Pelodiscus sinensis: one gene and its partner. The protein of the gene in region 1 purifies or fractionates together with the protein of each later gene. This does not show direct contact. Links are inferred from orthologs where the notes say so. Each region holds a gene or a part of one and is shown on either strand. Other genes may lie near its edges.

Region 1 (7,964 bases):
TATCATCAATCTAACTGCAGGCCTTGCCCACCCACTGGTCCAGTTCCCTAGGGAATTAATTTTGGGGTCAAGATGGACACATGACCAGAAGCAAAGAGTGTCATGTAAACCCTCTAATAACTCTTCCCAGCACCCTCTACCAATCAGGATGGGTTTTGGCTTCACAGGACCACTCCGAGTGTAGGTTTGACCAAACCAGAGTCCTTCTGGGGCCTGGTGATCTGTCTTGGAAGTGGGTCATAATGAGCCTCTAAAAACTCCTCCCACTGGTTTCTACCAACTGTGATGAGTTTTGGCCACAGGGACCATCCTGAGAGTGGATTTGACTGAACAGGGTAGGTTTTGGGGTTGGGTGTCCCACCCTGAAAAGGGTCATGTGACCTCTCTAAGAGCTTCCCCAACCACCCCTTACCAATCAGAGCACAGCACCACTCCCAGAAACCCCAGCACCACATGGAAGAGGCCATCTTATCCCAAGAATGAGTGTTTCAGAAATCTTGGAAATCCTTTGAGGAAACAGGGACTCCTTCACCACCCCCTTGTGAACTTTGGACAGTTTTAGCCCTGAGCATTACATCAGTGACTGTTCCAAGGAGGAACTGTTCTGAGGAGAACCCTTTGGCTCAGCTGTTGCTGGATATGTTGGGACCAACCCCGATACCCAAGTGCTCATGGGACAGCCCAATGAGCATGATGGCTTCTCATCCAACCCTATGGAAGAAGGTGTCCCCAATGAACAAAGTCACACAGATAAATGACTGATGAAGAAATGATGGTTGATGATGGAGTATAATAGGGTTAGGAACCAAATCATGACTGTTTAAATCTAGCGTGGGAGCTCATGCTGCTTCCTTTCTGAAAATCTCTTGACAGCTCGATGATGCCTTTCTAAAGTCCTTTGAGAACCTACACATTGGTAGCTCTGTGGGAGTAAATCTGTCATGCATCAGCTGTTTTTGTTTGTGTCTGAGACACACATCTTGAGAGGAAAATCCAGAAAAGAACAAAATGGACGAATAAACTAGCTCAGGTTCTCTAATGGTTATCGTGTTCATTTTCACAGGCTGCTATAAAAGGATGTGTTAAACCAGGCAATTAATAACATTTGTTTAAATTTATCTGTCTGAATGCATCCCCTCCATACGTGTAATATCTTTTGCTAACACACTAACAGTCATGTCTATGTAGACGATTCTGTTAAAGAAAATTTCTTACACTCCCCAGAGAAGTTAGGAGCTTCAGCGAGGTAAACCCTCTGTTTCAAGCAGCCAAAAAGCATAATTATTTGAATAGAAGACAGGTAACAGCTTGGCTTTCAGATCAGGACTCTTACGCATTACACAAACCAGCTCAAATACATTTTAAAAGAAATAAAATCTTTTTTTTTCAGATGTGGATGTGCAATGGCAGCAGATTTGATGGACATGTACTGGTTCTCCAAACACAACAGCAGTTTTAAGTACATCTTAACAGCGATAAACATTCTATCCAAATATGCCTGGGCCTGTAGACATAAAAGACAAGATGGGTGGTGAGGTATCCAAGGCCTTTAACCTATTTTCAGAGAAGGTCTGAAAATTACAAATTGATTGGAGAAAAGAAATTTTAAACAAACTTTTAAGCACATTGTTAAAATGGTATGGCATTCACTATTTTGTTAGTAATAAACAGAGATTTAGCATTAAATAAAAATTTCACAAAACTTAATTCTACCATATTTCTCACCCATACCTATGCATCTATTTAACATATAAAAATCTAATAAAACAACAAACCAATAAACAAAATATATTTACTGGACTTTGTCCAACCATCAATTGTTGCTGCTAGTGAATTTTTCTTTTGAGCTTGTTTATTCTCTGGTCTATAGATCTCTCAAGTTTTGATTGTACTGTGGAGCAGACAACGTTATTATAAAACAATGAAATAGTCTCATAAGCTTAAAAATAAAATGCTCATTAGGATGTTTTTTCATTTAAAAAGTCATAGCTTTAAACAAAACAATCAATTTCAGGCTGTAAAAAATATACCAGTTTTGCTTTATTTTTAACACTCGTGTTTCTCCAAAACTCAATATTATATATTTTCAGAGTTAAATACAAGCCACATATCTCACATCACAGTCCAGCAGCAATTCAATTCAGGATCATTTCTACTGAAAGAGGATTGTCTCCAAAAACCTGAGTTTTTTATACCATCCTCTTTGTTTCAAACAAACTTTAAAATCTGTATTTAACAGGTTAGCTAAATCATCACAACTCTGAATTAATAGATAATTTAAGGAATTTAGGCATCCTTCTCCAAACCTCCCTCTTCTGTGATTGGGGTTGGGAGTGGAGAAATTAAGTTGTCTGCACAACTGGGCTGCTTTAGGCTATTTTATTTTATTAGTTACAATACTTTTTTTCTGTTTAAATTAAAAAACAAAGCACTGAGGGCCTTCTAACAATATTAAACAATAATTCACCATACACAATCATCCTTAATGTTACAGTAACCTCTCTAGAGTGGGGGAGCCTTTGAAGATATCAATGTATATCTTGAGGGGTGGTAGGTTTTTTCATGCTTAAAGTTTTGGGTTGTTTTGAAAAAAAATGGAAGTATCATAAGCATGTTTTCATAAAGGTCAGTATGATGTCTCTTGTTTGTTGCACCATAAAAGAACCAGATTTGTTAGGAATATTTATCAGGTTCTTTCTGATGCTGGAACAAGCCAGGGTTATCTCTGGGACTAATCCTTTTGTGAGTATTCTGATCAAATGCTTATGAATGTTTGTTACTGTTTGCGTCTAGTAACTGCTTATTCTTTAGGTTTTTAGACATGTTTATAGAACTCCATTGGACAGTTTCTATATAATCCCAGGAGTTGGTAGAACTCTATTAGGCAGTTTAAATAAACCCATAGGAGTTGGTTGAATACCATGGGTCACTGTAGTAATACAAACTCATTAAAAGTTTAAAAAATAATTACAAAAAATAAACAAAGGTATAGCCCAAAACTGAAATATTTCAAGGATTCACAATTCTCCACAATACTTTACATTTTCTGTAAAAACATTTAAAAGCCAGATGTGCTTTTGCGCAAGAGAGCATCCACACTGCATAGGTACTCTTGCACAAGAAAGCTTTGATGGCCATTCACAGAATGGCCAGCAGAACACCTGTGCTTTTTCCAATAGGGGTTTCTTGCATCAAAACACCTCTAGAGCACCCACACTTGCCTGTTTGTGCAAGAGCCGTAGTGCAAAAAGGAGTTATTCCTCATGGGGAGAGGAATAACTACCAGCAAAAGCCCTCTGTTCTGTCAATTTTCTTGCACAAAAACGTGCTTGAGGTGTGGATGCTCTGCCAGTTTTTGCGCAAAAACCTTATAGTGTAGACATAGCCTGAGTGGATGTTTTCAGAGCTATCCACAATGACTCCAAGATCTTTCTCTTGAGCAGTTGTAGCCAAATTAGTCCCCATCATACTGTATATACAGTTGGGATTATTTTTTCCAATGTACATTACTTTACATTTATCCACATTAAATTTCATTCGCCATTTTGTTGCCCAATCACTTAGTTTTGTGAGATCTTTTTGAAGCTCTTTACGATCTGCTTTGGTCTTAACTATCTTGAGAAGTTTGGTATAATCTGCATATTTTGCCACCTCACTGTTTATCCCTTTCTCTAGATCATTTATAAATAAGTTGAATAGGATGGGTCCTAGGACAGACCCTTGGGGGACCCCACTAGTTACCTCTCTCCACTCGGAAAACTTACCATTTATTCCTACGCCTTGTTTCCTGTCTTTTAACCAGTTATCAATCCAAGAAAGGACCTTCCCTCTTATCCCATGACTATTTACTTTACTTAAGAGCCTTTGGTGAGAGACCTTGTCGAAGGCTTTCTAGAAATCTATGTAGACTGTATCCACTGGATCCTCCTTGTCCACGTTTGTTGACCCCCCTCAAAGAACTGTAGTAGAGTAGTATGGCATAGTTTCCCTTTACAGAAACCATGTTGGCTTTCCCCCAACAAATTATGTTCATCTACGTGTCTGACAATTTTATTCTTTACGATAGTTAGAAACGGTCTGCCCCTAATTTGCAATGCAATCGGTTCTGGAGCTCGCGTCGCAAGTCGGGGCCGTCGTAACTCGAGTCTGCATTTCTGACAGACATCGTTCCACTGTAAATGCGGGGACAGGGATGTAAGTCGGGGGGGGGGGTTCGGCCCCTTCAGCACTTATGGAAAAGGCCGTAAGTGCGGGGGCTCGGAACTCAGGCCGTCACAAAGCGGGGGCCTCTTCTAGTTGAACCCATCTCAACCCCTTTAGAATGAACACGCTCTCCGCAGCCCCGGTGCTTTCTGGAGCTTGAACCAGGTGGGTCCCTCTCTTCTGGACTGTCTCGAACGCGCCCAAGCCCAGCGGCGGGCGGGAAGTAACACGGGGGGGATCGCTCCCTGCTCGCCACCCTCAGACAGGACCCGCCGTCCCTGCGCCGCCAGCCACAATGGGCGGGGTCAGGAGCTGTAGCCCCGCCTCGCAGCGGTTGAGCCCGCCCCCTTCCTCCCAGCTTGGTCCGGGCCATCCTTTGAGCTAATCCCACTCTTCTCCCTCCCCCCCGCTCCGGCTCTTTCTGTCTCGTCATCCTCTGAGTTCCGCCCCCTGGGCTGCCGAGGCCAGCTTCCTGTCTCCTCACTTCCGGTTGGCTGCCGTGCGCGCGCTGCTTGCTTGCGGCGGGGCGGTCGAGGCCTGGATCCCTCACGTGGCGTCGCCTGGCGCGCGCGCGGGCCGTTGGCGCTGCGGCCGCTCTCGCTGACCCGGGCCCCCTCCCTCACCCGCCATGCTGGTGCTTTTCGAGACCGCGGCGGGCTACGCCGTCTTCAAGGTGAGGCAGGCGGCAGGGGCGCGGGGCGGCCCGTAGCCTTCTGCAGCAGGAGCGCCGGGTGCTGCCCCGGGCCTCGACCACGTGCCTGAGGCGAGAGCCCCGGGTCTGTCGCAGCTGGGCCTGGCGCCGGTACCGAGTAGAGGCGCGAGGTCCGTGGGAGGCGGTGGCTGGGCTGGGGCGCAGGTTAACGCAGGAAAGGGAGGCTCTGCCCTCGCTGCCTGCTCGGCCCCCCCGGGGGTCTCCCTCGCCGGGCTACTTGCAAGGCAGGTTTTTCTGCGTTTGATCCGACAAGGTCAGCCCCTGCTGCCTAGGGCAGTGGCCGGGTAGAAAACCGGACCTGGGCAGTCGTGCAGCGTGTAGCACAGGGATACATCGCTTCCTCGCGGATCCTGCATAGATCGGCTTCTCTCCGAGCCTGAGCTTTGATTCATTCCGCAGGATAAAGTGTAATTGTAAATGTCAGTGACCACGTGTCTGCAGCTGCAGCTTTTCCCTGTGATCTCTTGTGGTACCAACAACTCACTTCCTGTTTGCATCCGGGAAGAGCAAGCTGGTCTTGCATTTGTTAATTTTAGCCACCAGTTTTGGAATGAAACAGATCCGTTAAGAATTATCCCCTTGTGATAACTATTAGCAGAAATTGTGGCGTTTATACAACTAACTAATGTTCTATTATTGCCTTCCAAATATGTTCACATTGCATCTGTTTCTTCTGGGACTTTTAGCGTTTATTGCAAGTAATATTATTCCTTTAGTCCCTAAATGAAAGCATTGAGGCTAACTTAATAGTAATGGTATTTTAAATACTTCATTTACAAGATGTGTTCAATTTACATTTGTCTGCTAATGTTTATGTAAAATGCTTAGCTTGACTGGTGTACATTGAAAAGCAAAGATTCCATTCCAGAAACTTTAACTGGACACACAATCTTATAGGGATGTAAGTGACTAGTCAACTATCTGATAAGCAAAAGCTTATCAGAGGACACACGGAGGACTGGTCACTTCCCCCCTCTCCCTTACTGCCTCTATCAGAAAGAGGCAGCAAGGCGGGGGGAGAGCAAGGGATCCTGGAGGGACTGGCTTTCTTGTTCTTCCAGCTCTGGGAGGGAGAAGGAGCCCAGTGGCGGTGTTCCAACTTCGAAATGTACAAGAGTTTCCACTGCGGTGGAGGTTCCCCACTCCCGGTTTACCATATATGATAAAAATTTAATGGGGGAGAAGAGCAGATTTCACAGTCCATGACATGTTCTTCATAGTCATGAATTTGGTAGGGCCCTACTTTTTTTTATATAAGCATAGATGGGTTCAGGAATTCTCAAACTTCATTGCACTGCAAACCTTTTCTGACAGACTATATGTAAGGGCTGAGGATGGGAGGAGGTGGCGGATGTAGTGTAGACCAAGTCTTAGTGCACTGCTTATTAAGAGCTCACAGAAATATGGTAGACTAGTGAAACTGTGGATTAATCTTTTGGGAGGCAGAGGTGGATTTCTTTTGTTGATAGCAATCTGAAATATTAGTCTGTTAGCCAAGGGTGGTGTCTTTAAAATTTACTCTGAAGGCTGTGTAGGTCTGAATGCATTGTACTGCAAAGAGAGTAAGTCCTGAGCAGCAGGTGGGAGCTGGTCTGTGCAGGGAGTTGATTTTTTAAACCAGCTTATGTTGCTGCCTCTGGTACAAAGGCTAGTCACCATGTAACTCAGGGTTTCCCAACATATGGGTCGGGACCCAAATATGGGTCGCCATTACATTTCAAAAGGGTTGCCAGGTGTCTTCCCCAGGTGGCTCTGCCTTCCCTCCTCCCTGTTTTTGAATTGCCTTAGGTCACCAAGTATTCCTGAATTGTCAAAATGGGTCCCCATCTGGAAAAGATTGGGAAACACTAATGTAACTGAAAACATTTTTTTTGTAGTTAACATTTATTTTAGCAATCATGTATCTACCATCTCTAGATCCAGTGTTCCCTCTAACTTTTTTCTGTCCACCTGCAGAATAAATATTATGTGCCCCTAGGCATATGCAGATGTGCATCAACAGTAGAAACATGCTGCTGGCTGTGAGTGCTCTGCTAATCAGCTGGGCTGCATTTGACTCTCTCCTGGGTGGCTGCCATGTGCTCAGCTTACAGGGAACATTGATCTGGCCCCTCCACACTCACTGACAGTGGTGCAGGAAGCAGAGCTGCGTGGCCCTGGCTCACTCTGCTCCCCAACAGTGAATGTGGAAGCAATCCCAGAGCACCAGTTCCTCTGCTCCCCTCCTGCTAGTGTCTCTAAGCTCCGAAGGTCAGCTACTTAACATGTGTCCATTCCTCCCCCCTTCTCCCCCCCCCTCCACACACCTGCTCCAAACGTCTTTAAACATTGGTTTCATTTTTTATCCACAGGTTCTGGATGAAAAGAAACTCCAGGAAGTTGATACTTTGTGGAGAGAATTTGAAACTCCTGAAAAAGCAAATAAAATGTAAGTCTTTCCATGAAGAGCTAACAGCCTGGGTATGAAAGATAACTGTGTTTAATTGTGTACATAGGAGATGAAGGACTAAGGCTTTGTGTTTCAGTATAGTTCACAGCTTTTACATGTTAAAAGAATGATCTGACCCAAGATCTCTGGGTGCTAGAGATCAGAGTGAAACCTAATATGGATGTGTGTAGCTGTGGCAGAGTATCTGTTCATGGCAGGGTTCTTACACCTTCCTCTGAAGTGTGACACTTGATACTGTGGGCCAGAGTACTAGCCTAAATGGACTTTGGTCTAATCCAGTTATGCTATTCCTGTGTTCTTAAAAAGATGTTGGTCTCACTGTGCCTTGCAGCATAAGCCTTGAGCTGCTGTTGGAGGTGATGCAAGTTCAATTTAGGAATTTCAGAGAGGGTACCTTTATCTATGACCTTGCTTCTGTTACAGATAACATAGCCTTTTCTGAGACAGATTAATCAGAATTGGACTAGAGTCAAAAATCTAAGCCTGGAGATAATTGTCCTGGGTCCCAATGGCTGCTTAAGTACAACTTTGTATAGATAAGAGAGGATTATTACAGAAGGAGGAGGAAGTTAGGATCAGGGAGGTGATATAGCAGATGCA
Region 2 (7,635 bases), on another chromosome or scaffold:
TGTGCAGCAAACAAGGCATCGGGATACACACTGAACAATGAGGATAAAACAAAATACTGAACTGCTGAGTAACTGTGCACTATCCATCCTGTGCATTGAATAAGGCAGGGAGTCTATGGAAAAAAATAGTATGTGATAGGTAACTGGGATGTGTACAGATTACTTAGTAAGCATCATAAAGGTAATGCTTATCAGGTAACAGTTAACCATGATCCGGAAGCTGCTCCAGCCCAGCTGATTTAGGTCCTGCGCTGTTGGTTCCCAGCCTGCACAGCAGTAGCCCTCTGGCAGCAGCCGCCACCTGCGCCCCTGCACTGTTGCCTCTGATACAGAGGCAGCAGCGCACAGGGAGGCTGGAGGGCAGCAGCTCCACCGAAGCTGGAACATGCAAGGAGCCGGTCTAAAACCTGGCTCCCCACATACACTGGCTCCCGTAGAGGTTCCCTCGCACCCACGTAAACTTAACTACTAAAAATTTTCACGGTTATACATATACCAAAAAAAAACCCAAACAAATTTTAACATAGTTGAAAACAACGAGCAGTCCTGTGGCACTTTAGAGACTAATAAATATTAATGCTAATGAATGAAACTAGGTCCAACCTAGACATGAAAACTATTTTTAACAGGATGGATTGATTTTAATCAAGGAGGTTCAAATCATGCAATTAAATCATGATTTAAATCACCAAATGGAAAGCCTTGATTTAAATTATCAATTTTAATCAACTTCCAGTTGTACTTCAGTTATTTTCTTAAAAAAATTCACGTTGCTTAATATAAGTTAAAACATGTTGATACACAACTAAATACAGCTTTTATTCTAGTTTTACTACTTTTTTTGGCTACCTAGGAGGGTACACGATAACTTTATTTAAGCAATTACAGCAGCTTCATATTTTCAGATTCTTATTAACTGTACATTCTTAATTTGTTAGACAACATTCCTAGTATGGTCACTTTTTTTTCTTTACTAGATAATGAACATTTTGTTCATGATTTGTTTCATGCTGTATCAGGATGTTAACTGGAATTTAGCTGAACACATAAAACAGCATATAGAATTGTTTTTATTAAACAATACAAGCTCATAGTACAGTTTATGACCTGTTAGGTCAACATTTAATAATGTGGCCTAAGAAATTAGTTATCCCTTCAATTCTTTCCATACTAAGGATGTTGGGGGCAGGAAGGGGAAAAGAGGGGAAGTAACTGGGTAATCATGAAGTTGATACTATTTGATATTACATGATTAGTTAAAAAGAGAAGGCTCTATCCCCGCGGCTCTGCAGTTTAAATGTAGTAAGAGCCGGGCGCGCAGGCAGCACAGCTCTTACTTCATGTAAACTGCAGAGCCACAGCAGGGGTAGCTCCTGGACTTGGCATGAGCCGGGCTTCCTCAGTCCCAGCTGGGACTCCCAAGCTGCTGTGGTGAAGCAGCCCCTGTCCTTGGCGGTTGGCCGCAGACAGGGGCTGCTTTGCCACAGCAGTCTCCCTGGCCCCTTGCCGCACGGCTGCCTCAGAGACAACAGCACAGGGAGGGGGGAACAGCACCACGGAGATGGTACTGCAGGGAACCGGCTTTTAAGCCGGCTTCCCCCAGCACCAGCTCCTGCTTCTCTGCCCTTTGCTGTCTGATATAGAGGCAGGAAGGGGAGGGGGAAATGTGAGTTGTCGACACATCTACCTGATAAGCCCAGGCTTCACAAGCAGTCAACTAATCGACTAAGTAGTCGACTAATCAACTACTCTTACATCCCTATTCCTTACACAGAAAAGCAGTCTTTAACTCAAAAGTTTTTGGTAGATGCTTGTGGATTTCAGCATATTTCTATTTAAGTGTTTTAAGATTAATATAGGAAGGAATATTGCAAAAAAGGATCTAGGGGTCATAGTGGATCATAAGCTAAATATAAGTCAACAGTGTAACACGGTTGCAAAAAAAAAAGCCAACATGATTCTGGGATGCATTAACAGCAGTGTTGTGAGCAAGACACAAGAAGTCATCCACTTTACTCCACGCTGATTAGGCCTCAATTGGAGTACTGTGTCCAGTTCTAGGCAACACATTTCAAGGAAGATGTGGAGAAATTGGAGAACGTCCAGAGAAGAGCAACAAAAACGATGAAAGGTCTAGAAAACATGACCTCTGATGGAAGACTGAAAGAATTGTGCTTGTTTAGCTTACAAAAGAGAAGACTGAGAGGGGACATGATAGCAGTTTTCAAATATCTAAAAGGATGTTACAAGGAGGAGGGAGAACAAGTGTTCTCCTTGGCCTTTGCTGATAGGACAAGAAATAATGGGTTTCAACTGCAGCAAGGGAGGTTTAGGTTGGACATTAGGAAAAACTTCCTATCAGGGTGGTTAAACTCTGGAATAAATTGCCTAGGAGGCTGTGGAATCTCTATCACTGGAGATATTTAAGAGCAGGTTAGATAGACATCTATCAGGGATGATATAGACTCTGCTTGGTCCCACCATGATGGCAAGGGACTGGACAGGATGATCTCTCAAGGTCCCTTCCAGTTCTAGTATTCTAGTAAGTTCACACTAACAAATTTGGTATTAAATTCAGATTTCATTTAAAGCAGGTTTATTTTTGCAAAGAAAGCATTATAATTTAAATATGTTTTAAAAGCCAATTTAAACAAAAATTCATTTAAAATTTGTTATCCATTCTGAATTTTAATAAAAAGTGAAATATAACATAACATAATAAACCTTTTATAGAGAAAACATGTCTGGTTACATGAGCTGTCCCATTGATTCCAGTAGTACTGATTATGTGAATAAAATAAATGAAGGCTCTGCTGTCTACCACAAATGACAATATTCAGGTAATGATCAAGTAAATGTTGATCTGATATATAGACAATGTGTAAGGCCAGCAAAAGTAATGTGTAAGTAGCATTAACAATGCTTCCCCTGAAGAGAGAAAACAGTATATCACACAACAGACATATGTATGTAAAATATCTTAGGTACCACAACACAACTACATGAAAAAACCTTAGGGCCATGTCTATGCTAGGAACCTATTTTGAAATTACTAAATTTGATTTAAGAACTCTTGATTTAACAAATCTGTATCCTCACTACGAGGAGGCATTGAAATTAGTCTGAGGCAGGCTCCATTAACGTGATCACGTTACCTGAGACTTAGAGCCCCGAAAAGCACTCTGGGGAGCTGCAGGAGGCATCCCAGAGGCCAATAAGTGTGAATTAGTGTCACTGGAGAGTCCTGAAATTACTATTTCAGGATTAGCATTACTCCTTTTGAAAAGCAGGAGCGCAGAGTTCAAATTCCACAGCTTGTTGTTTCAAAGTAACGGGCATGGTAGTGTGGACGCACGGCTTATAAATTCGAAGTTGGGGGAGGAATTATTTCAGAATAAGGTCCCAGTGTAGATCAGGGCTAGATGTACATGCTTCTCTCTCATCTAATGTATGGAAATATATAAAAACTGAGTGCAGCCTTGTAGCATCGGGCAAGTTGCAAGTGTGCTCCTCAGCTGTCACAAAGAAACAATGCCCCTGATTTACAGCACACAGAAAACTAACTTGTTAAACAGGAAGCTTGCCTGAGGCGGAGCAGGGCAACAGCGCTGAACAAAGGGGAGTGACATGTGTGGACCCCTAGAAATGTCCACGGGAGGTGCGGAGCCCTTTGGAAATCTTAGACGCAGACCGCAGCCTGAACACCCTGGCAGGGCGGTAAGTGCTCAGCGAGCCCCCAGGCGGGTCCCTCGCTAACAGGCCAGTGCAGATCAGCCTGGCAGCAGCACATGGGCCTGCGGGGGGGGGGGGCAGCACTGAGCCCCAGCTGGGGCGAGACCGACTCCCCCTGAGAAGCCCCCGCCTCCCGTAGCCTGCGCGGAAGTCCCAGGCCGCGCCCCCTCGGGGAACCCGGACACAGCACGTCCCCTGCAGGCAGCTCCGGGCTGGGGCCCGGGCCTGAGGGGCATTTAGTTCTCTAACGCGTCCTCACCCTGGCTGAAGTCTTCATCCGGGTCCGCCTCGGCATAGCGGGCAAAGCCTGGGGGCAGCGCCGGCCCCATCAGCTCTCGGGCCATGGCACAAGCCCCTCGGCCGGCCCAGCGATGGGCGCGCTTGCGTATTGCGTCGCGACCCCGTGTTGCACGGGCGGTTGAGAATCCCCCATAACCCTTCCGGCGCTGTATGATGACGTTTCTCGGCGGCATGCCCGGCAGCAAAGTTCCCTCACTCTGCCTTTGGGGGCGTGGTGTTTACAGTGGTGCCGGAAGTGACGCGTAATGCAGCGGCCTCCTGTGTTCCCATGTGGAGGCGGCTGCTGACAGGGGCCATATGAGTGACCCGAGTAGCACCGGCGGGGTCTTTGCGGGGCCCGACATGAACCCCTTCGCCTGGTACCCGCCGCCGCCTCCCCCCATGCTCAGGCCCCCCGTGTTCTGCCCGCCCCCGGGACCCGCAGCCTGGGACCCCAGCTTCTGGGCACCGCCGCCTGGGGATTATCTGCCGCCTGGCGCCTGGTACCAGCCATCGCCGGTGTACGGGGAGCCGCCGCCGACAGCCCCGTACCCAGGTAGGGGAGGCCCTCCACCTCCGTGCGGGCAGAACGGACACCAGTATCCCTGCCTCCCCCCATATCCCTTCTCCAGCGGGCAGAGTGGGGTTTTTCCTCCTCTGCATCTAGAGTCTTGCTCCTCACGTGCACCCTGGTTTGTGCATCTGTGTAGGTGGTTGTTGCTGCCCCCAGTTTTTGGCTGCTACTTGCATAGGACTAAACGAAGGGCGAGATTTCTCATGCTCCTTCCCACACTACTCAACCCTGAAACTTAAGACCAGGTTTTTGCCTTTTATTTGTCAAAAATTTTGGTGACATGGTAACATATCTCCAAGGAGGCTGTGTCTCTTTGGGATTTGCCATGTTGATTATGTCATTAGAAAACAGAAACCAAAAAAATCGACGTTTATCTTCCTTTTAAAATAATAAATCAGTATTTTAAAAGGTTTTTTAAGTGGCCACGTTAATTTCCAGGCAATATTGTGATTACACAGATGATATAAGGAATATCAGATGGATAAAAAAAGCTTCTGAATTTCTGTTTTTCATTAAAAGAATTTTTATAAGATTATTCCAGTTAAGTGCACTGCTTGCTTTTCAAACATAATATGGAAGAAAGTGTTTTAACAGTTCTATGTAACTTAATTTTTCTTATACATTTTTTTTTATTAAAGGTGGAGATTGCTATTTTACTGAAGAATGGCAAGCTGAAGAAACACCTTCATTTTTTAAATATTCGCCAGGTAGAAACTACAAGCAAAAGGTACTTGTAACAGCTATTCTGTGGGCCCTAGTACTTCAGTTGTGCTTCCGGAATACAATACTCTCAGTTCTTCCATACAAGTTACGTTTATAACATAATCCTGTATTGTAATATATGTTAACCCATTGTTATAATGAAGACCATTCCATGATGAGATGAGTACAAGTTCTGGATCCATTCAATAGAGGGATACTCTAATTAACTCACTTAAATTGTACACTATGCACATGATTTTATTATTGGGATGTACTAACGTTACAAGAACCTTTATTTCTTGCAAAATAAAGGTAATGGGTCTGCTTTGTCAGTTGGGTTGTTGGCAGTGATGATGCTTAGTAAAAAAAAATTATATGTAAACTTGAGCACATTTAAGTTGGAAACTGAGAAATGGAATATAAACATTTGATTACTTTTAGTCATTTTTCTGAATAGATTATGTATCAAGTGTTTTGACTATTGAAACTCCAGTTTTATAAACTCATTTCAATATTTTAATGAAAGCAAGTTCTGGCATATTGGTTTCTGTTTTAAAAAAAGAAATACGCATAACAGTGTCACTCTTTTTAACAGAACAAGAGGAAAAAAGAACCGGTTTTCTCTAATTATTGTGATACTTGTGATCGTGGCTATAAAAACAAAGAAAAATATGACGAACATGTTGCACAGCACGCACAGGTTAGTTTAATTAGGTGGGAGTGTTTGTTATAAAAAAGATTTTTAAAATAATTTGTAGCCACACAATTTTGGCCTGTAATTTCATAATCTAAGCAGGTTTTAGGCCCAGTCAGTACTTGAGTGGGAGATCACCAACGGAGAATCACTTGCTACAGGAACCATTGGTAGGTGGCACTTTCATTGGAGTCATCTCCTTCACTGACTGCAGGTTGGCCCTCCCTGATTTGGCACCCTAGGACCTAAACTGTCCTGAGCCAGGGAGTTTGTTGGACCAGATGAGGTTAGTGCTCCCCTGCTGGCTGCCTGCTCCCAGGCTCCTCTCCCCAGAAAGGCCATCCACCTCCACCATCTTTGCTTCATTTGGGGTGTTCTTGGCTGGTGGTGGCTGGTCACCCTGGCCACACTGCCATTAGGAGTTCCCTGCCACTAGTGCTGCTTCTGCTGAAGGCTCTCTGGCCAGGCCTCCCACCACTGGCAGCCCCTCTGCAGCCAGCGGTTCCTTGGCTGGGGCCAGGATTCCCCAGACATCTGGCCCAGCTGATGCCGAGGGTTCCCCTGCTAGGACGGGGGCTCCCCAACCACACCTGGCCCTGTTGAAATGGGGGGGGGAGGCGATTCCTTGGCTAGGTCAGGGGCCCCCCAGCTGCTGTCTCGTGCGGGTGCTTCTGGTCCAGCCTGAGCTCCCCAACTCCCATGTTGTCTCCCACTGCCGCCTCCGGTGCAAGCAACATCCGTGGCCTGCTGGACTATGGATGTTACTGGACCAGAGAGTCCTGGATTTGGGAGGTTCAACTTGTACAAATAGTGCAAGGAGTCACTGTTTTGCTATGCGTGTGCTTTTTTGATTAAGGTATAAAACTGAGGCCCTAATTCAGTGGTGGGGAACCTTTTCTGGTTCAGGGAAAATTGACAGAAAAATCAGTCGGGAGCCATACACAAGTGAGAAGCAAAGGAAAAAAAAGACATTTCCTCACTGATGTGGCCCCCAACTGAGGAGGAAGACACTCTCCACATACCTCTTGCACACCAGAGCCTAGGGGACCCAGGCTAGTAAATGTTGTGTGCGCCATCTCCTTGGAGGGGCAGCGGGGTGGCTGGAGTGCCAGTGTGGATTCCCCAGTGTTGGGGGGAGTCCTGAGCCTTAGGTGGCCAGATCCAGGCAAGCTGAGGGATGGCATCTGGCCACTGGGCCTGAGGTTCCCCATTCCTGCCCTAATTGAATACATAGGTTCTGTCTTACAGGCATTGGGTTGCTGATCATGTTGGTCTTTTGATTCATAATGGTAAATGTAAAATTGGTATTTAGCAGTTGAAATTATTCATGATTTATGAACAAGCAATAACATTTTGTGTGAATTACTGAAGTGTTCAGGGGTGACACTGCTGGTGGGGTTTGCCTTGTTTTGACCAACTATAGATAGCAGTACAGCTTGAAGCTCTTCCCCCATGCTCTGTGAACAGAAATATGCATAACTCAAAGATGCTTTAGACAAAGTCCCTCATATAACCTATCAATTTTAATGTTACAGTCTGTTGCCTCTGTATACCCTGTTTTGGTACGTGTATTATTTAGGGATATGGTAGTGTGAACATGTTTACCTTTATGGTTACATGCAGTGCCCTCCTCCGCTGCTGCCTCTGATACAGA

Evidence for each region. Proteins that work in one complex are often made in the same cells at the same time.
Region 2: the proteins of NOP58 (region 1) and NUFIP1 purify together in Homo sapiens (co-immunoprecipitation; 3 studies listed by BioGRID and IntAct, with this or other methods). This does not show direct contact. The link is inferred for Pelodiscus sinensis from reciprocal best matches to the Homo sapiens genes NOP58 and NUFIP1.

The regions. Positions count from the first base shown.
Region 1 is NC_134717.1:56,310,501-56,318,464, reverse strand, and holds the start of NOP58 (nucleolar protein 58), read left to right. Parts: upstream 1-4,673; 5' UTR 4,674-4,831; coding exon 4,832-4,876; intron 4,877-7,266; coding exon 7,267-7,343; intron 7,344-7,964. UniProt on the Homo sapiens protein: Required for the biogenesis of box C/D snoRNAs such as U3, U8 and U14 snoRNAs. Part of the small subunit (SSU) processome, first precursor of the small eukaryotic ribosomal subunit.
Region 2 is NC_134711.1:286,757,874-286,765,508, reverse strand, and holds the start of NUFIP1 (FMR1-interacting protein NUFIP1), read left to right. Parts: upstream 1-4,155; 5' UTR 4,156-4,329; coding exon 4,330-4,567; intron 4,568-5,223; coding exon 5,224-5,312; intron 5,313-5,882; coding exon 5,883-5,987; intron 5,988-7,635. Other genes in the region: GPALPP1 (GPALPP motifs-containing protein 1), read right to left, coding at 3,992-4,076. UniProt on the Homo sapiens protein: Binds RNA.